Elephas maximus indicus: one gene and its partners. The protein of the gene in region 2 purifies or fractionates together with the protein of the main gene of each other region. This does not show direct contact. Links are inferred from orthologs where the notes say so. Each region holds a gene or a part of one and is shown on either strand. Other genes may lie near its edges. The genes, in order: ATAD5, RFC4 and RFC1.

Region 1 (10,381 bases), on a different chromosome or scaffold from region 2:
ATTTTAATAAAAAAACTAACTAGAGGAATGGAATAATAGTGAAAAAATAATTTAAGACTGTGGTTAACATAATCAATGAAGTATGTGAATCTTTTGGCTTATTACTTCCAAACAGTAGCTTTTTGTTGATGCTATTTAAAGAAAATAAAATACTACTTATAGGACTAATATTTCAATTACCTTTCTGGTCTGAGAAGTGAAATCTCCATCAGTTGCTTCAGATTTCTGAGATCTTTTCTTACCTCTTTTCTTAGATTTTTTCTTAGATTTTTTGGGAGTAGTAATTCTGGTGAATTTCATTCTGAAAAAAGAAAAGGTATTCAGGAACATTTTCATGATTATAAAATATAAGAATCTCAAATACAGGAAAGAATCAACTAGATCTTCCATTTCAGGGCTGTTCTAAAACATTAAAAACTCCAGTTTCAAACACCAAACTTAATGTGAAACTCTTGGAAAATATAAAATGTTTCCTTTAAAATTAAGTTTTACATCCTTAATGGAGCAAGAGATAAAGCATGGTGCAGACTCAATGGTCTGAGACTAAAGGAACCCCAGAAGGCCTGGCCCCTGGATACTTTCTGTTAACCCAGAACTAAAGCCATTCCCAAAGCCAACTCTTCAGACAAGGATTAGACTGAACTATAAAACATAATACTCACGGAGAGCATGCTTCCTAGTTCAAGTGATACATGAGACTAAATGGGCGGCTCCTGTCCAGAGGCGGGATGAGAAAGCAGAAAAGGATAGGAGCTGGTTGAACAGACACGGGTGGAAAGGAGGGTGTGCATCATAGGGATGGCAACTAGGGTCAGAATATGTGTATAAATTTTTGTATGAGAAATTAACTTGAGCTGTAAACTTTTACCTAAAGCACAATAAAAAAAAGCAAAAAAAAAAAAAAAGCTTTACAGAAAATTAGCCCCCAAGATGACTCTTCTATTAGAGCCAGCAAGCAATAATACACCACATAGTGTTATGGGCCAGTTCACCCAAGAAATAAATTTCTGATTTATTTTCACACTCATGCGCATTATATACACAGAACTCATATCTGAAGGATATTTCTCCAGGAATTAGCAATTACATGAAGAGTTTACTAAAATATATCTAGAACGCTTCTGAAATTATGCCCGATGCAGAAAACAGCAGCATTTTTGAAACCCTGTTCTTTTTCTTACAAAATAAATCAGTTACGTTCTAGAAAAAATACTAGTCTCTGATGCTTGAAATATTTTCCTTCCCTGCTAATATTACATGCAACATACTAGAACTTACATAGAATCGTTGAATTTTAAAATAAAAACAAAACTTTACCTAATAGGACTCTCCGAATCAAAGGGTACTGTTATTAATTCCGCTGTATATAAATTACGCTTTCCTGAAAAGCTGGCTGCTTTTGGAGTGGAAGCCTTTATTGGACTATTATCTTCCGAATCTTCAAAATCAGAACCCCTGATGATTATTGCGGTAGGTGTGCTGCTCCTTCTCACAGACCTTCTGGTTGGTTTGGGTGTGGAAACATTTACCAAGCTGTCTTCAGGCTCAGCTTTAGAATGTCTAACTTGGACATCCTTAACTGGAAGACTGGTTTTTCTTGATGACTTACTGTTGTTATGTAGAGAGGAAATCTCTAAAGGGTCAGCCTTTGCTATATCGTCACAAACAAGACTTTTACTTTTAAATAATGTGCTGCTTTTGAAAACTTCTGTTTTCTTACGCCTTAAACTCATTGTAACTCTATTTTGACTTTGCTTATCTTTTAAAGAGGTTGTTTCTTTCTTTTGGGTATTTCCTTCTCTAGTCTCACCTAGTACAACCCCAGTATCTAATGTTTTCTTACTCTTTTGCTTTAGTTTCTTACTTTTCTCCTTAGGAAAACTTCCTTTATCAGTGTGTGACTGTGAAGTGTCGTTATTTGAAATCATTTGGATATTAGCATTTTCCAGGATGTTTTTAGAACTACTGTCTCTTTCTTCCTCAAGTAAAGCTTTTTCATTAAGGTCTTTGTGTTTATCAGAAGACTTCTTCACTCCGTTTTTAAGTGCATCTGATGCTGGCTGCCTAAATGCTTTCATAAACTGCTGTCTTTCTTCTAGAGTGCACTTTGGCTTCACAGCTTCAGAACTTCCAGCTTCCAACACTGCCAATTCTAGTTCTTCCTCCTGTATAACAACATTAGATTTTCTTTTCTGAACTGTCTGTTCACTTTCAGGATCAGAGAGACTATTTTCCATTTCAATTTGCTTTTGTTTCAAGAAAATTGAGGGTATTTTCCCTGCCTTTTTAGGGGGTACAGGGTGAACTTGTGCAAGAACAGTCATTGTCTTAAAGTGTACCTGCTGAGAATTTTCACAGGTTTCTGTATCACTTATATAACCACTTTTGACTATCTCTCCAACAGTTTCAGAGGGGACACAAATTGACACTGACGTTGTAGAGTCTGGTAGCTGTTCCACTTTGTTTTCCTTGTGACTTTTTAAAAATTCCTCATATGGAACAGTTATTGTGTTATCATTTAACTCAGCGATTTTAGATACATTATCTCCAGGGTTTGCATCATGCGCAGTACTCTCTATTTCATCAGTTAGGGAAGATATTATCTGTTGATTATCTTTACCATCTTTTTTAAGATTTAGTTCCTTTGCCAAGGATAAACTTTCGGAGAGATCTACTACATCTCTGTGCTTCCTTTTTCTTATTTTCTTGCAATCATTTTTTGTGGTGCCTTGTTTAGGGTTTACTTTCTTAGAATTCTGTTTGCGGGTCATATTGCTTGACTGGTTTTTGAAATCTTGAATACTTTCTGCAGGTACCTCTACATGTTTCTGGTGGAGTAAAACAGAAGGACTGCTTTCTTCAAAGTCATTATTTAAACTAGAGTCTTCTTTGCTATCATCACTACTTATTTCAATTGGAGATTCATGTCCAGTTTTAACATTATTTAGTTGACGTGATAAATTAACTCTCTTTCCTCTCTTCTTAAACTGTACATTTGAGAACGGTTCCAAAGGCGTTTTATAATCTTTGCCACTGTCCACAGGCAATGGTGCAGATGACTTTATCTTACACTCTTTCGTTGATTGAGTCCTCTCATTTGTAGGTGAAGTTTTTCTAAAATAATCCAGAATATTATTGGATTTTGGTGGAGAGAAAACTCTAACTCCAGTCTTCTCTATTGGTGATAAATATTTCGTAATTGTTTTAAAGGAAGATCCATCATCATCTTTCCTTCGCTTTTTGCATGGCTGTAGATTTAAAAGAAGGAAAAGAGGCACTTATTTCAAGAAAAATAATACAAAATATAAATTTAAGACACGGATCTAATATTTAAAGTAATCGGATAAAGAAAGGAAGGCTCCTTTATGTGACGAGCATGATATACTGGAAAGAATATGAACTTTAAAATTAAATCTATATTGAAATCTCAATGTCCCAATGATTTACCTTAAAACTTGTGTGCTTTACTGTATATATATAATTATAAACAAAAAACCAAGCAAGATACCATCAAGTTGATTCTGACTCACGAAGACTTCATGTGTTGCACAGTGGAAGTGTGCTCTATAGAGTTTCCAAGGCTATGACATTTTGGAAGCAGATCGCCAGGCCTCTCTTTCAAGCTGCCTCTGGGTGGGTTCGAAACTCCAATCTTTCAGTTAGTAGTCAAGCGCTTGGCCATTTGCACTGCCCAGGGACTCCTTATATATATTTGTTTACATTAAAAAATTGTTCACATTAAAAAAAATCCAAGCCTACTATACTTATGAGCAAATTCCTAATTCTTCTCAGTCTCTGTTTACTCTATAAACTTTAGATAGCACCTTCCACCTTAAAAATTGTACTGAACACATTACACAAAAATATGTAGTCTGACGATGGTAGGAACTCTACACATATTATATTCCCTTTTTATTATTTTTAGTTAAAAATAAGCACATTACCCTAACTATTGCTAAGAAACAGGGACATAGTCATCAAGCCTAGGATCCCAAAATTTACTAATCAAGTAGAAATTACAGTGCAAGTTCACCAAAAGAACACTTACAAGTCTAGTGTTTTAATTTGCTGTTAAAACCGTTGCTGCCTTTCTTTTACGTTAGTTATTACCTTTACAATATCAAGATGACTATAATGCTAGGCATGTTTAAATTTTTATTGGTTATAAGTCAGTAATTTACATAATAGAAAATAAATATTACCTTATTGGTTACAAAAAGCACCATCAGTCTTTCTTTTTTTTTAATTTTAACTTCCCTCAGTTCATTAGTTAGAATAAATTTAATAAAATAACAACGAAATCCTTTAAAAGGTAAGTAATGAATAGAGGAGTTAGGCTTCTAGAAAATTAAAATTATATAAAGCTATCATGATTTAAAGTGTAGTGCTGGAGCAGGAATAGGTAGGCAGGTCAATGGAATTGATTAGAACACCTGAAATAGACACAAGTATATATTTAAGAACTTAGAAAATAAAGTAGTGACAAAAGAAGGAGTATTTAATAAATGGTATTGAGACAACTTCTAACCATTTGGATAAATACGAGGCAAAATAAATTACGGAGGGATTAAATCTGTATATGTTAAAAAGAAATCATAAACATTTTAGAAGAAAATACTGATGAGTATTTACATAACCCTGAGATGGTATAAGAGGCACTATACTATATGCTCTGGAGTCAGGCAGATCTAAGTTTGAGTGCTGGCTCTGACATCTTCTAATGTGAGACCTTAAACAAACTAAACTTTTAAATCTTCTTCTCTCATCTGTAGAATAGAAATAATAATATTTCATTACAGGGTTGACGTTAAGCAAAATAATGTTTATAAAGCCTTTCCCTTTACCATACTTAACAGTGAATATCACTATTACGAAATAGGCTCTCTAAGCAGGCCACCAAGAGCAGAAACCATAACCCGAAGACTGATAAAAGTGACCACACAAAAAGCCAAGAACTGTGTAATTCAAGTATCAGAAGACCTTCTTCATACCTAGATAATCTGAGTAACTGCCTTGACCTAGCAAACAAGTATCCCCCTTAAATGAGTGTACATCTGGGTTCATTCAAGACACCAGAGCACATACTTCAGTTTGAATGCTAACACGAGATGAAAAGTTGTAAAGATGTAATGTCTGTCTTAAAATGCTGGCCTGCTACTTTCTGGTATTAGAATCTTCTTTCAAAATATGCTTGGAGCTCTGGTGCTGCATTGGTTAAGAGCTAGGCTGCTAATCAAAAGGTCGGCAGTTGGAATTCACCAGCGGCTTCTTGGAAACCCTATGGGGCAGTTCTACTCTGTCCTATAGGGTCACTATGAGTTGGGATCGACTAGACGGCAACAGGTTTGGTTTATAAAGAATGCTTAGAGTATTTCACTGAAACTTGACGAACAAACATCAGCACGGCACACTGGGTCTTCCAACTGCAGTATATTAAGATCTAGAGCCATGGGTAATAGATTTACCCTGCTTGATTCTGGCAGTGACACTGTAAGTGGCATTCCCAGAACAGGGAGGATAAAATAGGTGGACTTAAAGCTCTTTTTCAACTCAAATTCTAGGATTCCATATCATGAACCCAGAACCTGACCATGGGATCCTCCGTGACATCTCACAAGTCCAAAACATCACAGTCCACCAATATTTCAGAATCTGGGCACTGGCCATGGTATCTTAAGTCCTAACTTACTGCAATTCTCTAAACATCTCACAATACCAGGGTTTGTCGGAATTCATCACGACTCTAAGAACGACACACTCCAGCAACTGTTCCACACGATGTCATTCCTGGGGGGCCTCTCCGTGTTCCTCCTTTCCCCTCTGAGATGCAAAGTCGGGATTACCACCACCCGTTTTCCAACAGCCGGAGAACTCGACAGACACTCGATCTCACCTCAATCTCGTAGTCCTTGACTGGAGGGGGAGCAGCCGCCGCCGCCATGGCAAGGACCCCTACCATGTTCGCCGCTTCCCGGTGCCCCTGCTCCTAGGACCTTGCGCGGACCGGGTCGGCCAGCGTCTCGGCCATGGAGGCGGCCCGCTCCTGGAGGAGCGCGAAGTTGGGCCGCGGGGTCCGTCTCGGATTCCCCTGCGCCCACCGGCCCGGAGCGGGCTCGGAGGCCGGGCCCAGCTCAGCCAAGTCGAACGCGGGAAGGAGCGCTGAGAAAGCGCGGGCGGCGAGGCACTCGGGGCGCGGCCGGTAGGCGCGGGGTGACCCCTCCGGGCGGACGACCCAGGCCGAGTGCTCGGGACCGGAGCCGGGGCAGGGAAAGCAGACCGAACGCAGACCGGACCGGAGGGCTTCCCAAGAAGTTCTCGTCGATTGGGTTTTCGCGCCGTCCTGAGCGGAGGGGGCGGAGCTTAGGGTTGCTCTGGAAGCCTGCGCGGACGGTGAGCTGAATGGGCCAAAACACTGTCGTCGGCGAGTCGGCGGGAGGCAGGGTCATTGTATCACGGAATGTAAAGCCAGTGGGGAGTGTGCAAATTCTTCCTTCTGGTGTCCAGTAGCCCGGCTTCAGATGAGAATGTGGTTGAACGAAGGTACCTAGTCAGTTGGTGGCAGAATTAAAACCCTGAACTCTTGACCCGGACTAGCCCCTTCTTTAAATTGGAAATTTGAAAATTACAGAAAAAAAAAATTGATTATATTCCTACTACTCAGATAAAATGTTAATATTTTGGTATGCGTCCCACATCAGATATACTATTCTGGGCCCGACATTTCGACTTTATACCCCTAATTTGAAGAGGCGTTTCTTTCTGTGGATTTCGTCCTCGTGAGCAGTCCAGGAGCCCGAGCTCACCGCCTCAACTGGTTGACGTGTGTTCAGTGCTCGCAGGTACCAGTAGTTTGCTGGTTTGTAGTGATGGTAACCTAGTGCGTCATTTGCATTGTTTTCATGGACTTGTTTAGCCTTTACTTTTCTGTTATGTTAATGTTGAAGTGCCTACACATAGTGTATGTTCTACTCCGTCCTATGGGTCGCTATGAGTCGGAATGGACTCGAGGGCACTGGGTTGGGTTAGTGTATGTTTATTTCTTTTGAGAGGATAGTTTTAACTGCAAAATAAGTAAGAGCGGATACAAAGCAGGTAAAGGGACTTAACTAATAATGGGAAGCCACCTTGTTAGATCGGGTTATGCAAAGTGATTTTAAATACTGAAGTAATTGTACCCATCTTTATGGTTTTTGGTGCTGTCTTAGAGTGAGTTAGGAACCCTGGTGGCTGAGCCCACCAGTTGCTCAGCAGGAGAAAGATGTAGCACTCTGTTTCTGTAAAGATTTACAACCTTGGAAACCCTATGGGGGCGATTCTACTCTGTCTTGTAGGGTGGCTGTGAATTGAAATCCACTCCACAGCGGTGAGCTACAAACAAAGAAAACAAACTTGTTGCCCTCTACTCAATTCCGACTCATAGTGACCCTATAGGATGGAGTAGTATTGCCCCACAGTGTTTCCGAAGAGCAGCTGGTCGATTCAAACTACCATCCTTTTGGCTAGCATCCAGATGCTTAACCACTGCACCACCAGAGTTCCTACTTATAAGCACATATGCATTTTCCCCAATAAAATTAGTAAGAATTACTTTTCCCTTGAATATTAGTACCAAATAAGGTTTGTCAGGAGGGGAAGATTGTACTACTTTCAGTCTTCTGAGAATATACCGTTTTGTTGTTGTTTTTTTTTCTAATAACTCACGTAGTATAGATACATTGCCCTGAAAAAGGAGGAGGAGAAGAAGGAGAAAATGTGGAAGAGGAAGAAAAAGAAGACACACAAAAAAATTACAGAGCAAACTATAAATCTCTTTTGACTTGCACTCCCCAACTCGATCTCCTCCCCAGAGGTAATCACTCCTAGCTATTTGGTATGTAGCAATGTAATATTTTTTTTAATACTTACGTACAGGTATCCATAGGAAATCTTTAGCATGGTTTTTATTTATATAAATAGTATCACTGTAAATATTCCTCGGCAATTTGTTTTTTTCACACACCATTGTTTGAGAGCTATCTATGATGCATGTAGATCTAATTCATCTCCTTTCATTCGTAAGTATGCCATCCAATTATACACTACATTTTATCTGTTTCCTTAGTGATGAATATTTAGGTTGTGTCCAGTTTTCTGTTATTCAAACATTCTTGCCCATGTCTCCTTGAGTACGTGTAATGATTCTCTAGGATAGACATCTAGAAGTGAAGTTGGTGGGGTATAAAGTATGGGAATGGGAATTCCAGAACACTTAATTGTGCTCATGAGGAACCTTTACAGAGATCAAGAGGCAGTTGTTTGGACAGAACAAGGAGATACTGATTGGTTTAAAGTCAGGCAAGGTGTGCATCAGGGCTGTATTCTTTCACCATACCTATTCGATCTGTATGCTGAGCAAATAATACAAGAAACTGGACTATATGAAGAAGAATGGGGCATCAGGATTGGAGGAAGCCTCATTAACAACCTGCGTTATGCAGATGACACAATCTTCCTTGCTGAAAGTGAAGAGGACTTGAAGCACTTACTAATGAAGATCAAAGACCACAGCCTTCAGTATGGATTGCACCTCAACATAAAGAAAACAAAAATCCTCACAACTGGACCAATGAGCAACATCATGATAAACGGAGAAAAGATTGAAGTTGTCAGGGATTTCATTTTACTTGGATCTACAGTCAACAGCCATGGAAGCAGCAGTCAAGAAATCAAAAGACACATTGCATTGGGCAAATCTGCTGCAAAGGACCTCTGTAAAGTGTTGAAGAGCAAAGATGTCACCCTGAAGACTAAGGTGCGCCTGACCCAACCCATGGTATTTTCAATTGCATCATATGCATGTGAAAGCTGGACAGTGAATAAGGAAGACTGAAGAAGAGTTGACGCCTTTGAATTGTGGTGTTGGCAAAGAATATCGAATATATCAAGGACTGCCAAAAGAATGAACAAATCTGTCTTGGAAGAAGTACAACCAGAATGCTCATTAGAGGCAAGGATGGCGAGACTGTGTCTTCCATACTTTGGACATGTTGTCAGGAGGGATCAGTCCCTGGAGAATGACGTCATGCTTGGCAGAGTACAGGGTCAGCAGAAAACAGGAAGACCCTCAACGAGGTGGATTGACACAGTGGCTGCAACAATGAGCTCAAGCATAACAACAATTATAAGGATGGCTCAGGATGGGGCAGTGTTTTGTTCTGTTGTGCATAGGGTTGCTATGAGTCAGAACGAACTCGATGGCACCTAACAACAACAACAAGGTATGTCTCTAGTGCTTTTTTTTTTAATAATTTATTTTATTTTTGGTTCTTTGAGAATATTCATAGCAAAACATACACTTACTCAACAGTTTCTATATGTACAATTCAGTGACGTTGATTACATTCTTTCAGCTGTGCAACCGCTCTCATCCTCCTTTTCTGAGTTTTTCTTCCCCCATTAACACAAACTCATTGCCCCCTAATCTTCCTATCTGACCTTTCCAATTGCTGTTGTCAATTTGATCCCATATAGCTAGATCTGAAAAGAGCACAACGCTCAAGCAGACATTCTTTATTATTTAAGGTAAACTTCTGTTTGGTTTTTAGGGGCTAGTTTTGGTTTCGGTTTATGTTTCAAAGATTATCTCAGGACAATAGTTTCAGGGATTCATCCAGCCTCCGTGGCTCCAGAAAGTATGGATTCCATGAGAATTTGAAATTCTGTTCTACATTTCCCTCCTCTTGATCAGGAATCTTCTAAAGAACCTTTGATCAAGATGTTTAGTAATGGTAACCAGGCACCATCCAGTTCTTCTGGTTTCATGGCAGAGATGGCAGTTGTTCATTGAGGCAGTTAGCCACACATCCATTTCCTCCTTCTATTCCTGACTCTCCTTCTTCCTCTGTTGCTCCGTGCAAATAGAAAGCAACTGTGCCTTGGATCTCTGGCACTTTTTATTCTTCTGAATTATGAAGCATTTATACTGAGTTTATTTTTATAAATGTGGTTATTATTTTACATAACCCTTAATTAGGAGCTCCTGGCATTTATTAATTTTAAATTAAATGAATTGTCATGTTTCTATAGTCATTTAGAGTTTATAATATACTTAGAACATCTTCTCCATCCGGCTAACCCTTACTTTTTTCAATATTGCTTGTGTTTTTTATTAAAGTAATGCTTGCATTTGATTAAAAAGCATCACAATTTTTTATTATTAAAAAAAAAAGCAGCTCGGCTCTGTTTCATACCCTAGGTCTGTTTCCTGGAGGCAGCCCATTTTCAACTTTTTTTTAGCAGTATATCTCTTTATTTTTATACTGTAATGTTTGCATAGCTCTTAGTTAATGTAACACTTGTAAACAGTATTCATTAATGTCCTGTTATAGCGGTTGAGGATTTA
Region 2 (10,381 bases):
TTTGATGCTTCCTGGGTCGTTCAATATTTTCCCCATGGAATCCTTCACTATTGCAACTCGAGGCTTGAATTTTTTCTTCAGTTCTTTCAGCTTGAGAAACGCCAAGTGTGTTCTTCCCTTTTGGTTTTCCATCTCCAGCTCTTTGCACATGTCATTATCATACTTCGTCTTCTCGAGCCGCCCTTCGAAATCTTCTGTTCTTTTACTTCATCAATTCTTTCTTTTGCTTTAGCTGCTCGACACTCAAGAACAAGTTTCAGAGTCTCCTCTGACATCCATCTTGGTCTTTCTTTCTTTCCTGTCTTTTCAGTGACCTCTTGCTTTTTTCATGGATGATGTCCTTGATGTCATTCCACAACTCGTCTGGTCTTCGGTCACTAGTGTTCGATACGTCAAATCTATTCTTCAGATGGTCTCTAAATTCAGATGGGATATGCTCAAGGTCATATTTTGGCTCTCGTGGACCTGCTCGGATTTTCTTCAGTTTCAGCTTGAACTTGCATATGAGCAATTGATGGCCTGTTCCACAGTCAGCCCCTGGCCTTGTTCTGACTGATGATATTGAGCTTTTCCATTGTCTCTTTCCACAGATGTAGTCAATTTGATTTCCGTGCATTCCATCTGGTGAGGTCCATGTGTATAGTTGTTGTTTATATTGGTGAAAGAAGGTATTTGCGATGAAGAAGTCGTTGGTCTTGCGAAATTCTATCATTTGATCCTCAGCATTGTTTCTATCACCAAGGCCATATTTTCCAACTACTGATCCTTCTTCTTAGTTTCCAACTTTCGCATTCCAATCGCCAATAATTATCAATGCATCTTGACTGCATGTTTGATCAATTTCAGACTGTAGCAGCTGATAAAAATCTTCTATTTCTTCATCTTTGGCCCAAGTGGTTGGTGCGTAAATTTGAATAACAATTGTATTAACTGGTCTTCCTTGTAGGCGTATGGATATTATCCTATCAGTGACAGTGGTGTACTTCAGGATACATCTTGAAACGTGCTTTTTGACGATGAATGCAACACCATTCCTCTTCGAGTTGTCATTCCCAGCATAGTAGACTGTATGATTGTCCAATTCGAAATGGCCAATACCAGTCCATTTCAGCTCACTAATGCCTAGGATATCGATGTTTATGTGTTCCATTTCATTTTTGACGATTTCCAATTTTCCTAGATTCATACTTCGTACATTCCAGGTTCTGATTATTAATGGATGTTTGCAACTGTTTCTTCTCATTTTGAGTCGAGCCACATCAGCAAATGAAGGTCCTGAAAGCTTTACTCCATCCACGTCATTAAGGTCGACTCTAATTTGAGGAGGTAGCTCTTCCCCAGTCATCTTCTGAGTGCCTTCCAACCTGGGGGGCTCATCTTCCAGCACTATATCAGACAATGTTCCACTGCTATTCATAAGGTTTTCACTGGCTAATGCTTTTCAGAAGTAGACTGCCAGGTCCTTCTTCCTAGTCTGTCTTAGTCTGGAAGGTCAGCTGAAACCTGTCCTCCATGGGTGACCCTGCTGGTATCTGAATAGCGGTGGCATAGCTGCCAGCATCACAGCAACACGCAAGCCCCCACAGTACAATAAACTGACAGACACGTGGGGGATTCTCCACATAATAGTGGCATAATAGCATCTTAATGACTATCCACTAAAAATAAATAAATAATAAGTGGTTAATAGCTACAGCTGCTAGCCAAAAGGTCAGCAGTTTGAATCTACCAGCTGCTCCTTGGAAACTATGGGGCAGTTCTGCTCTGTCCTATAGGGTCTCTGTGAGCTGGAATCCATGGCAACAGGCTTGGTTTTTATTTTTTTTACTATAAGTTTATCACCTGGTTTAATCACACAAGCACCCATGTGTAATGCAGAAAACAGTATGTATTTACACAAGACATTTCTTGTTCTGGTGACAGAGACAATGCTTCATGTGCACATAAATCTGTGAACTACCTGGGTCAGGCTGTGCACAGGAATGGCCAGCTGAAGGAGTAAGTAGAGGCTGAGATCCAGCCCAGCCTCTAATCACCTAGTCTTTCACACCATCAAGGGGCTGAATATGCCTGAAGGAAGGGAGCACTTCTTTTAATTGGTCTCCCAAACCTGCTACCATTCAGGTCTCTTTTTTTCCTGCTTAGCATAAAGGCACCTCTGTGCCAATCCTAGAGTCCCTGGATGGCACAAATGGTTAAGCACTCGGTTGCTAACAGAAAGGTTGGCAGTTGGAATCCACCCAGAGGCACCCTGGAAGAAAGGCCTAGCAACCTATTTCTGAAAGACTTAAAAAAAAAAAATTGCCATTGAGTTGATTTTGACTCATGGTGACCCCAAGTGTTTCAGAATAGAACTGCCGTCCATAGGGTTTTCAATGGCTGTAATCTTATGGCATTAGATTGCCAAGACTTTGTTCCACATCACTGCTGGGTGGATTCAAACAGCCAACTCTTCTGTTAGTAGTTGAGTGCAAATCGATTGCACCACCCAGGGATCTTAAACCAAATCAGTTGCCATCAAGTCATCTCCGACTCAGCAACCTCATATATTTCATTGTAGAACTGTTTGCCCTCAACAACTAACCTAAAGGTTGACAGTTCGAACCCACCCAGTAGTACTGCAGAAGAAAGCCCTGGCAATGTGCTTCAGCTACAATTACAGCAATGAAAACCCTTGGAGCAGTTCTACTCTGTAACACATGGGGCCATAATGAGTCGGAATCAACTCTGCAGCAACTGGTTTTATCACGTTGAGTATGTGCCCCCAAAACTTAGTCATTTCATTTGGAAAAGACCTATATCATATGCATTAGGGTAGTTAGTAAAGGTCTGAAAAGAAGGTGGAGCCCTGCTGGTGTAGTGGTTAAGAGCTTGACTACTAACCAACAGGTCGGCAGTTCAAATCCACCAGCCACTCCTTGGAAACCTTGTGGGGTGGTTCTACTCTGTCCTATAGGGTCATTATGAGTTGGTACTGACTGCACAGCAATGGACTTGTTTTTTGGTTTTGAAAAGGTAGCATCTGAAAAGGGTCTGATTTCAATAGGATTTAGGAGCAATTCAGAGCTAAATTAAGTACTGAGGAAAGATAAAAAGAGTGTTCTCAGACACCTGCCTAAAGCCCACGGTGCATGTATCCTGGTGGGGTTAAACATTACCACCCATCACATAACTTTTTTGAGCGCCGGCACCCTAGATTCTGAGCGGGGCTTTAAAAGATGACCATAGCTGAAGGGCTGCTAACCAAAAGATCGCCAGTTCGACTCCACCAACCGATCCTTGGGAGTTCTATGGGGCAGTTCTACTCTGTCCTATAAGGTCGCTGTGAGTCGGAATCGACTCCACGGCGATGGTTTGGTTTTTTGGGGGGGGGCGGGGTTATAGCTGAAGGGCAGAGTCCTCCGTCTCGGCAGACAGTAAGAGAGGTGCAAACCATGTGCGTTCCAGCGGCCGAGGAAAGGCATTTTCTTCAGACGTCTCTGTGCTTACCCTTGAAGGACAGACGGGGTTTTGCTCCGCGACGAAGCCAGAGGGAGAGGACCGGGGTCCGCAGGCTGCCCTCTTCTGGCGAAGGATCGCCTCCGGCTTTCCCAACCCCGTCCTTTGTGGGGGGCAGCGCGTGGCCAGCCGCATCTTGTCGCCGCAGAAAGGCCAGTAAACGCCCCATGACTACAAATGAAGTTCACGGTGCTGGGGTTCACGTTCTGCAAGCTCGCACCTCAAAAGAGAGCCGGCCTCCCTGAGAGCCAGGGTGGGCGGCGGGGTTCCCAAGCCCGGGGCGCGCTCTGCCCCACCCGCCGTGGCTGTGAAGGGTCGCAGACTCGCCCCGCCCACGTTCACGGAGCAGCCCGCTGAGTGGCCCGAGCGTCGTGCCCCCAGTTTGCTTGCTTGGCCCCCCGTCCTTCGGGGACGGTCGCGCTCGAGCTTCCCTGTCCTACAGCCTGTCGGAGGAATGCACGGGGACAGGGTGGACTTTTATTTAAACCTCCTTAGACATGTTCCAATCTCTGCGTCCCTACAAGTCTGTCTATGAGCCCAAGGATCTAAATAAGGCCACTCATGAGTAACAACCACCCTTTCGCCCCATCTTCCAAAAAAAAATCTTCCAGGCACCCCTAAAACGAGCGGCGCGCGCCGAAGACCGGAAGTGACGCGCTGCGTACGCACGCTTCCCGCCCTGCTTTGCGCCGGCTGTTCCGTGGCGGGAACTGAGGCGGCTGCAGGAACGGCGGCGACTGTTAAGTTCCCTGCGACCTGGTGTCTCGGAGCTTCCCGGGCCTGGGGTCCTCTGCTTGGGGAAAGGAGCTAACACTTCGTGACCGCCCTGTCCTTTCCAGAAACCCCACAAACGAGGCGGTGTCGTCCTCGCTGCGGAGACGAGTGGCTAGAAGGCCCAGGTTGTGCCCGGGTCCCCGCGCGGAGTGGAAGAGGACAGGTGGCCAGGCGGGAGATTGCCAGGTTTGCCTTCGCCTTCCTCTACTCCTGCTGCGCCCTTGATGGGTCTGTGATGTCTGTCACGTCCACCGTAGCGCTCTAGCCTCGCCACCTTCTCATCCCCGGTCTGCACCCCGTCTTGCACTTGCGGCGTGGCGCAGTGTCTGTTTCAGAGCCCTGCTTTGGGCTGCATTACTGTTTAGCAGCCCGTGGCAAGCATCGAGTACTTTTAGTAGTAACGTTAAAACCTTGACTGTTCACAGATATTAACAATATACTTTATTGAATGTTCGTCCACATGCCAAGCACGGACCTATGTGTTTGCACACGTATTCTTTTGTTTAACTCGGTTACCTTATGGAATAGGCTTTAGCGTCTTTTACAGAGGGAAATCGAGCATCTTAGGTGGTAATCCATTCACCAGGTATCATGGAGCGCCTGCCACTATTCTAGGCACTGGGGGGATACAGCAGTGAACAATATAGAATGGCCACTAATGCTGTGAACTTTCAGGCAAGCAGATGATGCTTTTCTATCCCTAACAACTGCCTTCCCCCTGCCTGCAAGAACGTTTACCTGAATGCGGTTGTCTCTGGGTGGGATTTCTTACGAATTTTTAATTCCTCATGCTTTTCTGTATATAATTTATTTTGTTTTTTGTTTAGAGTATACAGAGCAGAGCATAACACCAGTTCGTTTCAGTGACATTGTTTTGATTTCTGATAGTGAGCACATTATTAAAAAAGAAAAACAGCCGTTTCCATTTTAACAACAGAATACCCTGCCCCATTTAAAAAAAAAAAAGGCTTCTGAAGGCAGTCATTGGCTCTGCCAGTAAAATAGGTCCTTGAGCAGAGCTCTGTGCTCAAGAAAAGGAGTGGAGGTCCTCATTTGTGGTCCCAGCACCCCTGAATGCTGAGCTCATCCCAGGGCCTGGGCTCGCACCAAGCCCTTGACTGAAATGGAGGAGACTATAGAGGCCCATGTACAGTTTGACCATTAGTGACATATTATCAAAGAGTTTGGAGCTGTTAAGAAATGGTGTTTGGGTTCTGACATAAGATTTCTCTTGGTTCTATAACTCCCTCGCTGTATATAGAGTCTAAGCTCCTTAAGGACTTTGGCCTCTTATGTGTCCTTGTAGCCCTCTGTACAATGCATTCAGAGGGTCCTAGGTCATGGGGTGATGTCCTTCATTTAGTATGCAATGATTGAATGTCTTTGCATAACTTTAAGCGTGCTTTCAGGAAGTACTTCCTCCTAATGATTTCAAAGTAGCTTTTCCTTTTCTGTCTTCTGTGAGTCAGGGTGAAGTAACCATGCAGGCATTTCTAAAAGGTGCATCTGTCAGTACTAAACCAGCACTCACCAAGGATCGAGGAGTTGCTGCCACCGCAGGAAGCAGTGGAGAGAACAAGAAAGCCAAACCTGTTCCATGGGTGGAAAAATAGTAAGTACGCTTCTGTTTTTTTAAAATAATTAACAAATAACCTCTCTAACCAGTTTTGAAAGAGTCCCTGGGTGGCACAAACTAGTAGCCAAAAGGTTGGCAGTTTAAACCAGGGCTTTGGTTTATTCAAACCCCTGCTGAGTATTTGCATTTCCACCCCAGATACACTGCATCGGAATCTACATTTTAACAAGATCCCTGATGATTCTTATGTGTGATAAATTAAGCATATTATGTATAATAACCACTGCTGTACTAGTGTTCTCAGAATTGGTCTCTAAGCAGCAGCATTAGCATCACCTGGGAACTTGTTAGAAATGCGTATTCTCAGCCCTGGTTCGGATCCACACAGAGGCACCTTGGGAGACCTTGTGGTCTGGCAATCTGCTTTCGAAAGTTCACATCCTTGAAAACCCTGTGGAGCAGTTCTGCTCTGGACACACAGGGTTGCCATGAGTCAGAATTGATGCATAGCATTTAACAGCAACAACTCGTTTTGATCACTTGTTTTACTTAAGGGGGGGTGAATTGCTTTGCTTACATGTTGTCCTTAAAAATCACCACTTGTTTAAGTCATGGAGATTTAGAACTGAAAGATGCCTTAGAATGATCTTGTTTAATTCCCTTATCCTGTGGATGGACCAAGGTTTCTCTACACTAAGCACATTTTTAGGGGCTGGGATACAGCTGTGAAGAAAACAAAGTTTCTATAAGCTCTTGTTCAGAAGTTTACTTACGTCCAAATAACCTGTTTCCCATTTCATTACTAATAGGTGAAAATTGTTGGGGTTTTGTGTGTTTATACCTTTTTGTCAAAAACAACACTCGAAGTGCCTCATAAGTTGTCAATCAACTAAGAAATATTACGATAAAAAGCTTTTGCCATCGAGTTGATTTCGACTCACAGTGATCCTATAGGACAGAGTAGAACTGCCCCTTAGGGTTTTCAAGACTATAATTTTTACAGAAGCAGACTGTCACATCTTTCTCCCATGGCACATCTAGTGGGTTTTAACCACTCAGTTAGCAGTGGAGAGCTTAACCACTGCAAGCACTGAATGTGCCCTTATTTACTGAGGGTTTGCAGATGACTTATAGGCCACGTAAAACCCTCATAAGTTTTGTTTTCCCCCAACAATGCTTTTAAAAAAAAAATGGGAAATTTCACATAAAAATCTAGTTTATATCATGGAAGCTCCATAGACACATCCAAACTCCCTGAAGGACCAAATTAATGGGCTGAGGGCTGTGGGGAACATCCAGCTCAATTGGCATAACATAGTTTATAAAGAAAATGCTGTACATTCTACTTCAGTGAGTAGTATCTGGGGTCTTAAAAGCTTCTGAGCAGCCATCTAAGATACTCCACTGGTCTCACCCCGTCTGGAGCAAAGGGGAATGAAGAAAACCAAAGACACAAGAGAGAGATTAGTCCGGAGGATTAATGGACCACAACCACCACAGCCTCCACCAGACTGAGGCTAGCACAAGTAGATGGTACCTGGCTACCACCACTGACTGCTCTGACAGGGATGACAATAGAGGGTCCCGGACAGAGCTAGAGAAAATATAGAACAGAATTCTAACAAAAAGAAAAAAAAACAACAAAACCAGATTTACTGGCCTGAGAGAGACTGGAGAAACCCCAAAAGTGTGGCCCTGAGACACTCTTATAGTTCATTACTGAACTCACTTCTGTGGATCACCCTTCAGCCAACAATTAGACAGGCCCATAAAACAAAATGAGACTAAATGGGCACACCAGTCCAAGGGCAAGGACTAGAAGGCAGGAGAGGACAGGGGAACCCAAGGTCGAGAAGGGAAGAGTGTTGACATGTCATGGGGTTGGCAACCAGTGTCAAAAAACAATATTCATAAAACCAAAACCCGTAGCCGTTGAGTCGATTCCGACTCATAGCGACCCTATAAGACAAAGTAGAACTGCCTGACAGAGTTTCCAAGGAGCGCCTGGTGGATTCAAACTGCCGACCTTTTGGTTAGCAGCACGAGCACTATGCATATTTAATAAGAAACTAGTTTGCTCTGTAAACCTTCATCTAAAGTACAATAAGAAAATTTTTTTAAAAATCGATGTCTTAGTTATCTAGTGCTGCTACAACAGAAATATCACAAGTGGGTGGTTTTCACAAAGAGAAGTTTATTTTCTCACAGTCTAGTAGGCCACAGGTCCACATTTAGGTGTCAGCTCCAGGGGATGGTGCTCTGTGTCTGTTGGCTCTGGAGGGACATCCTGGCCATCAATCTTCCCTTGGTCTAGGAGCTTCTCCGCACAGGAACCTCAGGTCCAAAGGACATGCTCTGCTTCTGGTACTGCTTCCTTGGTGATATAAGATCCCTCTGTCTCTCTGCTGGCTTCTCTCTTTTATTTTATCTCAAAAGATAGTGGCTTAAGACACTGTGAAATCTTGTAGATCTCATCAGTATAACTGCCACTAATCCATCTTCTTACGTCATAGTGATGGGATTTACAACACATAGGAAAATCACATCAGATGACAAAATGGTAGACAGTCGTACAATACTGGGAATCATGACCTAGCCAAGTTGACAGATATTTTGGGGGGACGCAGTTCAATCCATGACATTCTAGTTTTTCTGCCTCTAAGACTGGGCAACCAAAAAGCCAAGCCTGTTGCCATCGAGTCAATTCCTACTCATAGCAACCCCATAGGACAGATAGAGCTGCTCCATAGGGTTTCCAGGGAGCAGGTAGTGGATTCGAACTGTGAACCTTTCGGTTAGCAGCAGAACTCTTAACCATTGTGCCACCAGTGCCATAGTCCCCACTGTTTTCTCTTGTCTCTCCTTCTCAGTATCTGCCTTGGCCCAGCAGTTATTTGAATATGAAACACTGGTTTATATAGTATTAGTGGTTTCCCTATAAAACATCATCTGACATATAATTCCTGCCTAGTATTGACCTGATTAATTAGAAAAAAAAAACAAATTTATCTTTTTTTAGTATTGACCTGATTAATTAGAAAAGACTTGATCAAAGAAAAGCTTTTGATTAGTTAACTGAGTACAATGCCCAGTCTTAGGGTTGGGAGTGTAACTGTTCTAGCTTCTCTTAAAATCACTAGTTAATGATGTGAGACTAAAATTATATAATTTTACTGTACTTCATGTTTGTTAAACTTGTTAGTCCTCATTGAAGTGAACAGATCTCCAGTGTTTTCTGTGCAGTAAGGTGCTGGAAGATACTGGTATTAGCAACGTTAGCGCTTCTTACCCTGAGGTTGGAAACCCTGGTTGTGTAGTGGTTAAGAGCTACAGCTGCTAACCAGAAGGTCGGCAGCTGGAATCCACCAGGTGCTCTTTGGACACCCTATGGGGCAGTTCTACTCTGTCCTATAGGGTCACTATGAGTGGGGATCCATTCTGACGGCAATGGGTTTGGTTTTTTAGTTTGGTATCTTGGGGTTACTAAATAGTGTACTTCCTTCTAAGCTCAGCTTCATGGTCTTGTCAAAGTGTAATATTTTCTAGTCAAATATTCACTTTAACTTGTAACCAGTTGGCTTTTGTGATGTAGCAAAACAAAGCCTTTTGCATAATTTTTGTAAACATAGCATGTAAAAATGCAGATGGGAAGTGAAAAATATTTCACTCCTTCAGTTTGTATTTGCTTAAGATAAATACAAAAGGGGTTTCTAACTACTCACAATTATGAACAAATTTCTCTTCTCCTTACTGAAATAAGAATTGTCATTGATAATTTTAGCAGAAGCAACACCTAAGACTTTTCTGTGACTATGGCAATATACTAAATACCCTATTTTTCTTTTTTTCCAGTCGCCCAAAACGTGTGGATGAAGTTGCTTTCCAAGAAGAGGTGGTGGCGGTGCTGAAAAAGTCTTTAGAAGGAGCCGATGTGAGTAGAAAATTGTGTTTAATGTCACTGGGAGCTTAGGACTTAATTTATTAACCTTTTTCTTTCTTTATAATAGCTCCCTCCCATTAATGTCATGCTGAATATAGTAGGCCCTTGGTAACCATCGGGACAATGGATAATTAGTCCAACAAATACTTATTGAGCATCTCCTACCTACTCCTAAGTGGCATTGTTATATAGTACTCACCAACCAACCAACCAGTTACCATCGAGTTGATTCTGACTCATGGCAACCCCATGTGTTGCAGAGTGTAACTGCACTCCGTAGGGTTTTCTTGGTTGTGACGTTGAAACAGATCTCTAGGGTTTTTTTCCAAGGCGCCTCTGGGTGTATTCTGTCAACCTTTAAGGTAAAATGGCCCTAACTTTAGGATTTGGGTTGAACCACAATGTAAGAAAGCATTGAGTGTTTAATTCTGCTTACAGCACTGTGTCTCCTGCTGTGGGGTAAAATGTCCTTGAGTAACTTGCATTTTAGATTATTCACAGACAAGATAATCCCATATGAAGAATTAGCAATTTAAAATTGCATTTGATGAAGTGCCCAGAGTGGTTTTTGTGAAGGGAGGGGAGAAGTTGCA
Region 3 (10,381 bases), on a different chromosome or scaffold from region 2:
GCGAGGAGGGCAGGACTGTGGGCGGGCAGGTTGGGTGTGATGGCTTCTGGGAGTCACTGTCAGACACCTAAAACAGTTTTTTTTTTAGTATTCTAAATGTAGAACCCCCCCATCATATTCCAGTTTCTTTAAAAAGTGAGTAGTTATTTCAGTTATTTCCATGTCACAAAACAATTTGTGTATACATTGAGTGAGAAACTAATTTGTTCTGTAAACTTTCACCTCAAGCACAATTAAAAAAAAGAAATCTCACCTAAATTCAAAGAATCTTCAAAATGCTAAAAAAAAGAAACACAAAGTTTAAAAATAATGTAAGAGAAACTAAAACTTATGAGAAAAAAAAATCTAGTTAAATGAAAGAGGAACTGCCCCATAGAGTTTCCAAGGAATGCCTGGTGGATTTGAACTGGCCAGCCTCTTGGGTAGCAGCCATGGCACTTAACCACTACACCACCAGGGCTTCCAAAATGAAAGGAGAGACTCTTTAAGAAAAGGGTATGGAATGGGCCCAATCAAATAAAAGAATGTTGAACGCTATCAGCTGGGCAAGTTCCAAAGCTGTGTGAGCAACCCTGTATATTCGCTCAGCAGTGTCTTACACATAGGTGTTCAATGAGTGTGCAGGGGATAACATAAAGTGCAGGCAACTTTGGGTATGGCAATGTTTGAACATAAGTTTCCAGTTGTTCTCTAATCACCTGCTTAGGATTCCAACTACTTTTCCATCTGGAGCATTTAAGATGAACTGGTTCCCAAATGTCCTGTTTCCTCCTACTCTACAGCTAGTTTATTACGAAGTTCCCAGGTTCCTGCAACCTCCTAGTCTTTAACATTTTCTTCTCTTTTATCATTTATTTATTTACAACTCAGAGAACATTGCTATTTGGTTTAAGTCCTCTGAAATTATAGGCAAAATTTTGTGTGATATTTCTACTATGTATACTTTTCTGGGGGTGGAGGTAGGCTCATGGTTTTTATGGGTTTCTCAAAGGATCTAACAAGGCCTCCCCCAATCAAGTATTTTGTTGAGCAAATTGTGGGCTAGGGAAGTCCATTTTTGGAACTATATCTCCCTCAGTAACACTAGCTAGCCTTGCATATGAACAGCTATAATAATAGCTGACTTAAAAATTATTATTATTATCTGCTTATGTGCCAAGAACAGTTCCATAACAGTCCTATAAGGTATTATTTCATTTTACAGATGAAGAAACTGAGGCACAGCAGTGGTGTCATTAGGGTTGGTGTTACCCAGAGTGGTAACTCATGGTGTCACTCCTCACCCCCATGGATTCCTCCTGTACCAGACCATACACAATCCTCAGTAATGTTTTTTGTACTAATGTTATTCATAAATCATAATTCCTGTAAATCGCTCCTTCTTTTCCTTTAATTACTACTTCATTCTCAAAAAAGTTCTTGATATAGGTTCACGAATACTAATTAGCACAATATTGTAGTTAAAACACCAGAAAATGTGGCAAGATCAGCAACTATAAAAGCGTCGGCAGTAAAGAAAACAACAGCGCATGCTTGATGAAACCACATGATTCCAAGCATCCTTGTGCTTGGGTGATAATGACAGCTCTGCCCAGAGTAGAAGGTTTGAAAAATAAATTAACATAGAGTTTTAGCTTTGTAGGTACATTGATACATGTAAGCTGGGCTTATGAAAAAACCTTTTTGTTTTGTTGTTATAACTACATGGATATTTTCAGTCATTTTGGTGTCATTCCCTCTGATAGTATCACCTGCACCCCCCACATGCCCCTAGTGACGCCGCTGATACACAGTAATTTGCCCATAGTCACACAGCTAGCATGAAAATCCCAGCATACTGGCTTCAGAGGGACCTATACAATGAGGCCCTGTTCATGAGTAAGTTTACTCCTTTGTAAACTGGGAATAATAATAGTAGCCAGTGTCAGTGTGAGGATTAAATGGACTAAGATAGGATAGTCCATAGCTGCATGCCTGGCACACATTACAATACACATTTTAAAAATACAAAATCTCAATTCTCAGCCTCTCTGTATTCCAGGAGGCTTTGCTATCTTTCACTGTAGAGATATCAGTGTCATAAAGTGCATGACTAGACAGGGGGTGGGTGGGAAAGCCTGAGATATTGGTCTCCACACTGTACTCGTTTCTTCAAAAGCTTTTGGGATCATTGTTTTTCTACAGCGATGGCGATGCATCTTTTTTGTGTTGGGGCTCCATACACACCACTGCTCTTCGAGGGGTTTAGACAGTAGTGCTGGGTTGGGAATTAGGAGGCCTAGATTCTGATACTGGTTTAGATTTGGAACAAAGCTGGATCCCTTAACTTGTTTAAGCCTCATGGTTCTCATTTATAAAATGAGGTTGATGGTGGTGACTAAAAGATTTTACCAAAGTTCTTTTGCACTGAATTATACAATATAAAAATTGTCCTTAAACCCTGAGTCTTGCAAGTGGTTAACACGCTTGGCTGCTAACTGAAAGGTTGGTGATTTGATCCACCCAGAGGGGCCTCGGAAGAAAGGCTTGACAAGATACTTTTGAAAAAATTAGCCACTGAAAACCCTGTGCGCCACAGTTCTGTTCTGACGCACATGGGGCTGCCATGCCTCACTGTCAACTTCAGGGCAACTGATACTGGTTTGTTGTTGTTAGCAGCCACGTGCCCACTATGGCTTGTGAGGACCCCATGCACAACGGAATGAACCACTACCTGATTCAGCTGCAGACAGGACCACTGTGATCCATAGGGTTGTCATTGGCTGATTGTCAGAAGTAGATCTCCTGGCCTTTCTTCCTAGTCTTAATCTGGAAGCTCCACTGAAGCCCGTTTAGCATCGTAGCAACACGCAAGTCTCCAGTGACAGATAGGTGGTGACTGCACATGTCCCTGAGTGCACTGGCCGAAATGGAACAGAGTCCCCACACGGAGGGTGAGAACTCTATCAGTGAACCATCAATGCCTCGCGGTACTGGTTTAGCCTGGTGATTCTCAAACTGTGGGTCTCCACTAAGATTACGGTAAATATTGATCGGTGAAATTCTTGTTTCAGGGTAGATATTTATACGTAACATCTGAAATGTACTGTATATCTAAAATGAAAGAAATATGTACCCTATTGCAAGTGGTAGCGTAGGGCAGTGCATCCTCCATACGTGTAAGCGGGAGGAGCCTGGGTACGGCCTTCCGAGGAAAGTAACCAATCTCTGAAACTCAATTTAAGCTCCCCGCCAAAATCCGAAGGCGCAAATCTGAGCTCATACCACGACCTCTTCTCTGCTGGCTGTGGCAGTGGCCCGGGGCCATCCGGGGCGGCACCTAGGCCAACAGCGTACCTCCCCCTCCTGTCCGGGTAGTAGGGTAGCTGCGCGCCTTCTGTCGTCATCACCGGGCGCCGCTGCCTCCGCCTCCTTCCACTTCGCGGGAGAAGTTGTTGGCGCGAATGGACCCCGAGCCCCGGTAACGGATTCCCCAACCTGCCGACCCACCTGCTGCCCGTCCGCGCTTCAGTCGTTGGGCTGCAATGGTGAGCCCTTGGGGGACGTTGTGCAGCTCCGGGGCTTGGACCTTGCAGGCTGGGTGTGGACGGGGCAATGCTGGCATGCAGGATGGGGGTTGGGGGCGGTGGGTGGCTCCGGAGGGGAGGGAAGGCATAGAAGGGGCCACACACCAGGCACCGGTCACACTGTTTTCCTGGTCGCGGACTCCAGCCCTCGGCTGCGGTCAGTGCGCAGGGCTTTTGGTCCTGCGCGAGTGTTTCACTTTTCCCACCCTTGGGGGAAGGGAGGAAGGAAGGAACGTGATTTGGGGGCGCACCGTGAAGTTGTTTTCCTGTTCCGTGTTGCACCGAACCTCAGTTTGAGTCCTGCCTGCAATTTTTATATCAAGTATGGGTCATGAGGGAGAAGAATGTAAAAAAACTTTCCTTTGCTGTGAATAAGTTGTCTCAAGCCTTCAACTTTAATCATTAACAGCTGCGCGAAACGCTCATCACATAGCCATTTTGAGACCGAGGGCATGGAGAGATGCTTTATTTTGTTTAGGTGGGTTCACAGAAGTCAAGGGATAACAAGGTTTACCAGGGGGAAAAGTACAACGGATAGAAATAGATGTAATACATTTGACAGCTGTCATCTCTTATCACCTGACTTTAAAAATAATCTAAAGCAAAATAAAGCAGGAAAAACTCAACGCGTAATTCCGTATAAACCATTTAAGTAAATAAAAAGTGCAATAATTATGCAGCCCGCAAAACAGACATCCATGATGGTATGGCAATGAATACAGGTATTTGTGTGAATTATTTTTAACTTAAAGGACAATTTAAGATGCGTCATTAAACCAGAAGATACTTAATACTCAGACATAATTTTGTTAATCATTCTTCAGCATATTTGTCAGAATGCCACCATTCTGGGGGGAGAAAGTTTTAGGCCAGGTTGGGAAACTTACAGCCTTTTCTGTTTCTCCTCAAAGAGGGTTAAAATAATAATGATGACAGCCATCCTGTACCAAGTGTCTGCTTCAGCCCGGTATGTAAGCTGTTTGTTTTACATACCATTTTTCATTTAAACATAACAGCAATCCAGTTTTACAAATGGTAGAGGAGGCCTTCAGAGTTTAAATGGGTTGTCATGCAACGAATATGATTGAACTAAAATTAGAACTCAAGTTTTTCAGACTACTTTGTTGTACTGCCTCTCCAAGATGGTCACCATTGCATTTTGGAGTTCAGACACCATGGTAGTGTGGAAAGTTGATGAGATTTGGAGTCTTGAAGCTGAGAGTGGGGTGATGTTTTAGTCTCATTCTGCTATTTAATAGTTACTGGTCTCAGGCAAATAAGTAGCTTAACTTTAACCCCTTTAAGCCTCTAATTTCTTACCTGTAAAAGAGGGTGGGGGCAAGGAAATATAATAATAGCTGCCTTATATAATTGTCTTGAGAACCAAACAAGATATATAAAGCTTCCATTCCAGTGTCTGGCTTGTAGTAGGTGTTACACAACTACCAGTGATCTATTTTTCTTTATAGAAAAGTGACATAGTGTTTAAGCGTATGCCTCCGATATTGTTGTAATGCTGAACAGCTGCTGATATAGTTAACTTTTGGTCATTCGAGTACTTTAATTTTGGTTCTTTCCTATTTCTTTGGTACTTCTGCTCACAGTGCAGGTGAAAAATTAAGTCTTTCTCAGGAAAGAAAAAGTCAAATTGGTGAGTTTTATTGTTTGTAATGGGAAAGGTTTTATAGAGTAGGTATATTTTGGATTTTATTGGTGTTTAGCAAAACCCTAGACTAACATTCTGTTCAACAAATGTTAATTGAACACCTGTGCACAAGTTTTATTATAGTTGTTGCTGTTAGTTACAGTAGAGTCGGCCTCTGATTCATGGCAACCCATGCACAGTGGAACAAAATGCTGTCTGATCTTAAACCATCCCCATAATCTCTTGTGGATGGATCATTGTGGTCCATAGGGTTTTGACTGGCAGATTTTGTGAAGTAGATTGCCAGGCCTGTCTTCCCAGTCTTAGTTTGGAAGCTCTGCTGAAATCTGTTCAGCATCGTAGCAACACGTAAGCGTCCATTGACAGATGGGTGGTAGCTGCACATGAGGTACATTGGCTGGGAATCAAACCCAGGTCTCCCACGCATCCCACCAACCAAAACGCATAGAAGGCAAGAATTTTATCACTGAACCACCAATGCCTCTATAGTTCCTAACCTTTGTTAGGGTCACAGTTCCCTTTGATAAATGTGGTGAATGGTATGCAAATTTTCTGCCCAGAGAAATGCACATACACACTATTTTAGAGAATTCACATATCTTCTGATACCCATTCATAGACGCAAGGTAACAGATCTTGCCCTGAGAGCTTCATTTTTCTCAAATATTTTCCAATTAAAAATTATCAGTAAAGGAATAAAATACCATATCCACACAGTGAAATATTATGTTGTTATTAGTTCTTGTTGAGTTGATTCTGACTCATGGTGACCCTACATATGCAGAGTAATGCTGCTCCATAGGGTTTCCAAGGCTGTGACCTTTTGGAAGCAGTCACTAGGCCTGTCTTCCAGGGGACCTGTGGATGGGTTCAAACCAACCTTTCAGTGAGTGGTCATGTTCTTAACTGTTTGACCCACTCAGGGACTCCACTATGCAGCCATTAAAAAATGAAGAAAGTTCATGTCCTGATATGAAAAAATTGCCAAGATGAATTAAATGGAAAAAGTAAGGTGCAGAATAGTGTGTAAAGTATGGTACCACTTAATGTAGTAAAATGGGAGAAAGAATACATACGTATTTGCTTGGAGATGCATAAACTATCTGGAAGGATACACAAGGAACTGAAAACATTTTTTGCCTCCAGGGATGGGAAGTATGGGCCTGAGAGGCAGGGTGCAAGGGAGAGTTTTACCCTTTGGAATTTTGAACCATGTGAATGCGCTATCTGTTAAAGAAATTGAAACAAAATTAAAAATAAAAAGGAATTAGAAAAAAGCCATATGGACTCCTATGAGGATTTAACTGTTTGCTCAAAATGTGAATAAAACTTGAGAGATGCCATTTTTAAGAAGTCAGCATATTTAATTCATTGGCTGATATGTTGTTGTTATAAAGTTGTTAGGTGCCATCAAATTGATTCTGACTCATAGCAATCCTATGTATAATAAAACAAAACACTGCCCGGTCCTGCACCGTCCTCACAATCGTTTTTATACTTGAGCACATTGATGCAGCCACTGTGTCAGTCCATCTTGTTGAGGGTCTTCCTTTTTTTTGCTGACCCTCTGTTTTACCAAGCATGATGTCCTTCTCCAGGGACTGATCCCCTCTGATAACATTCCCAAAGTATGTGAGATGTAGTCTAGTCATCCTTGCTTCCAAGGAACATCCTGGTCTTACTTCTTCCAAGACAGATTTGTTCATTCTTCTGGCAGTCCTTGATATAGTCAATATCATTCTCCAACACCACAATTCAAAGGTGTCAATTCTTCTTTGGTCTTCCTTATTCATCCTCCAGCTTTCACATGCATATGAGGCAATTGAAAACACCACTGCTTGGGTCAGGTGGTTGGGTCAGGCATACCTTAGTCTTCAAGGTGACATCTTTGTTTTTCAATGCTTTAAAGAGGTCTTTTGCAGCAGATTTGCCCAATGCAATGGCCTTTTGATTTCTTGACTTACTGCTTTCATGAGTGGAAATGCTGGTGATGTACTGGTAAAGAGCTACGGCTGCTAACCAAAAGGTCGGCAGTTCGAATCCACCAGGTGCTCCTTGGAAACTCTATGGGGCAGTTCTACTCTCTCCTGTAGGGTTGCTATGAGTTGGAACTGACTTGACGGCAACGGGTTGTTTTTCGGGTTTGCTTCCATGAGTGTTGATTGTGGATCCAAGTAAAATGTAATCCTTGACAGCTTCATTCTTTTCTCTGTTTATCATATGTTGCTTATTGGTCCAGTTATGAGGACTTTTGTTTTCTGCATGTTGAGGTGTAATCCATACTGAAGGCTGTGGTCTTTGATTTTTGTCAGTAAGTGCTTCAAGTCCTCTTCACTTTCAGCAAGCAAGGTTGTGTCATCTGTATGTTGCAGGTTGTTAATGGGTCTTCCACCAATCTAATGCCCCATTCTTCTGCATATAGTCCAGCTTCTCAGATTATTTGCTCATCATACAGATTGAATAGGTGTGGTAAAAATATACAGCCCTGATGCACATCTTTCCTGACTTTAAACCACACAGTATCCCTTGTTCTGTTCGAACGACTACCTCCATCTATGTACAGGTTTCTCATGAGCACGATTAACTGTTCTGGAATTCCCATTCTTTGCAGTATTATCCATAATTTGTTATGACCCGCACAGTCAGTGCCTTTGCGTAGTCAATAAAACACGGGTAAACATGTTTCTGGTATTCTCTGGTATAATTATTTTTTATTGAAAATATGCATAAGGTTGAACTACACATTTATTAATTTTAAGGAATAACCTTTTTGAAGAGCTGTCGAAACCTAAAAAATCAAATCCGTCGGCATCAAGTCGATTCCAACTCATAGTGACCTTCTAGGACAGAGTAGAACTGTCCCATAGCATCTCGAAGGAGCAGCTGGTGGATTTGAACTGCCGATCTTTTAGTTAGCACCCGAGCTCTTAACCACTGCACCACCAGAGCTCCAAGAACTGTCAAGTCAGTCTAAGTACATTGTAATCTGAGCTACTTGATTGCCCTACTCTGGTGTGTGTGAAATAGTCCTATTCCAGCAATGCTGTGACCCTATTACAATGTAGCTTTTGCCTGATGTTATTGTTTGGCCTTTAAGGCCTACATGGTCTGACCCCTACATAACTTTGATCTCATCTCTCTGTCTCTTGAACATGTTAAGCTGATTTTTCTCTTAGGGCTTTTGCTCTTACCATTTCCTCTCCTTGGAATGTTCTTCCTCTAATCCTTGCGTGTCTGCCTTTCCCCATCATTCAAGTCTCAATCATTACCTCCTCAGAGAGCCTTCCCCAGTTCTAGCTAAAGCTGCTGCTCTACTCTACAGTTCACCCTTACACGTTTTGTTCCCTAGCACTTGGCAACACCTGGAAATATATATATATATAAAATTCACCTATTTGAATTGTGTACTTCGGTAGTTTTCAGTATAGTCACCAAGTTCTGCAGCTGTCTCCACAATCAGTTTTAGAATTTTTATCACTCCAAAAAGAAAGCATGTACCCATTAGCAGTCATGCCCCATTTCCCTCTAATTCCTGTCCCCAATTCCTAGGCAACCACCAGTCTACCTTCTGTCTCTATGGGTTTGCTTAGTCTGTACATTTCATATGAATGGAGTAATACAATATGTATGGTCTTTTTTTTTTTTAACTGTGATTTAGGTGAAAGTTTACAGAGCAAGTTAGTTTCTCATTCAAACATTTATGCACAAATTGTTTCATGGCATTGGCTGCAATCCTGCATTGTGTCAGCACTCTCCCCCTTTCCCTTTCCACCCTGGGTTCACCGTGTTCATTCTTCTGGTTTTCCTGTCCCCTCACACCTTCTTGTCTTTGTTCCTGGGCAGGTGTTGCCTATTTGATTTTCTATACTTGATTGATCTAAGAAGCATGTTCCTCACGTGTGCTATTTGTCTTATAGATCTGCCTAATCTTTGGCTGAAAGGTGAACTTCGGGAGTGGTTTCAAGTCTGAGTTAGAAGGGTGTCCAGGGGCCATAGACTTGGGGGTTCTTGCAGTCTCAGTCAGACTAGTGATTCTGGTCTTTTTTTGTGAATTTGATCATTTGTTGTTTATTTTTCTCCCACTGTCTGGAATCCTTTTATTGTGATCCTAGCCAGAGTGGTCAGTACTGGTAGCTGGGCACCATCTAGTTCTTCTGGTCTCGGGGTTGTGTAGGCTGTGGTTCATGCGGTCCATTAGTCCTTTGGACTGATTGCTCCCTTGGGTCTTTAGTATTTTTCCTTCTCTGCTGCTCTGGATTAGAAGAGACCAACAGTTGTATTTTAGATGGCCGCTTGCAAGCTTTTAAGACTTCAGATGCTACTCACCAAAGTAGGATGTAGAAACATTGTGTTTAAGAATTAATTTGTGCCAATTGACGTAGATGTTCCCTGAGTCTGTGGTCCTTTGCCTTTGAGCCTGGGAACTTCATCCCGTGAAGTGTTTAGTTATGTCTAAGAAGTTTCCCTGACCATGCCACTTGTGTGCTCTGTTATGTGTATTAGTGTATGAGGAGCACCTACAGTCATACATTTAGAAATTTCTACCTTCGAACCTGCACCTGCCAGTGGGTGTGTTCCTTTACTTGCTCCTTCACCTCTTCATGTATTTATCTGTGTATCAATTTGTAGATCACTGCTATTTTTGCAGGATTGTCTATGCTATAGTAGTGACCACAGTTGTCCTTTATTCCTGCATTTCTCTCAGTGTGCTCTCTTGCCTTGTCGTGTTGTGCTGACTTCTCCCATATTGTGTATTACCTTTCCTGTCACCAATATTAACTCAAGTCTACTCTCTCTTTGGTAATTTTCCCTCTCTCCCCCTTCCATCCTTGGTAACCATCAAAGAGTCTTTTTTTTTTTTTCTTTCCATGTATGTAAACCTTTTGTTGTTAACCTTATAAAAGTGTTCTTATACAATACTTGTAATTTTTGTGATTGACTTATTTCACTCAGCATAATGCCCTCCAGAGTCATCCATGTTGTGAGAAGTTTCGTGGACTTGTCAGTATTCCATTGTGCATATGTTTCACAGTTTGTTTATTCATTCATCTGTCGATGGGCACTTAGGTTGTTTCCATCTTTTGCTGTTATTCATAATCATAATAATGCTGCAGTGAACGTGGATGTGCATACATCTATTTGTGTGATG

What was found.
Region 1: the proteins of RFC4 (region 2) and ATAD5 purify together in Homo sapiens (affinity purification with mass spectrometry; 5 studies listed by BioGRID and IntAct, counting the BioPlex papers as one, with this or other methods). This does not show direct contact. The link is inferred for Elephas maximus indicus from reciprocal best matches to the Homo sapiens genes RFC4 and ATAD5.
Region 3: the proteins of RFC4 (region 2) and RFC1 fractionate together in Homo sapiens (co-fractionation; 7 studies listed by BioGRID and IntAct, counting the BioPlex papers as one, with this or other methods). This does not show direct contact. The link is inferred for Elephas maximus indicus from reciprocal best matches to the Homo sapiens genes RFC4 and RFC1.

Annotation. Positions count from the first base shown.
Region 1 is NC_064837.1:26,696,411-26,706,791, reverse strand, and holds the start of ATAD5 (ATPase family AAA domain-containing protein 5), read right to left. Parts: upstream 5,979-10,381; 5' UTR 5,960-5,978; coding exon 5,894-5,959; intron 3,249-5,893; coding exon 1,318-3,248; intron 302-1,317; coding exon 181-301; intron 1-180. UniProt on the Homo sapiens protein: Has an important role in DNA replication and in maintaining genome integrity during replication stress.
Region 2 is NC_064819.1:28,236,058-28,246,438, forward strand, and holds the start of RFC4 (replication factor C subunit 4), read left to right. Parts: upstream 1-4,158; 5' UTR 4,159-4,237; intron 4,238-4,337; 5' UTR 4,338-4,458; intron 4,459-5,741; 5' UTR 5,742-5,753; coding exon 5,754-5,884; intron 5,885-9,700; coding exon 9,701-9,779; intron 9,780-10,381. Other genes in the region: ADIPOQ (adiponectin), read right to left, coding at 3,490-3,667. UniProt on the Homo sapiens protein: Subunit of the replication factor C (RFC) complex which acts during elongation of primed DNA templates by DNA polymerases delta and epsilon, and is necessary for ATP-dependent loading of proliferating cell nuclear antigen (PCNA) onto primed DNA.
Region 3 is NC_064823.1:121,465,180-121,475,560, forward strand, and holds the start of RFC1 (replication factor C subunit 1), read left to right. Parts: upstream 1-3,382; 5' UTR 3,383-3,524; coding exon 3,525-3,527; intron 3,528-10,381. UniProt on the Homo sapiens protein: Subunit of the replication factor C (RFC) complex which acts during elongation of primed DNA templates by DNA polymerases delta and epsilon, and is necessary for ATP-dependent loading of proliferating cell nuclear antigen (PCNA) onto primed DNA.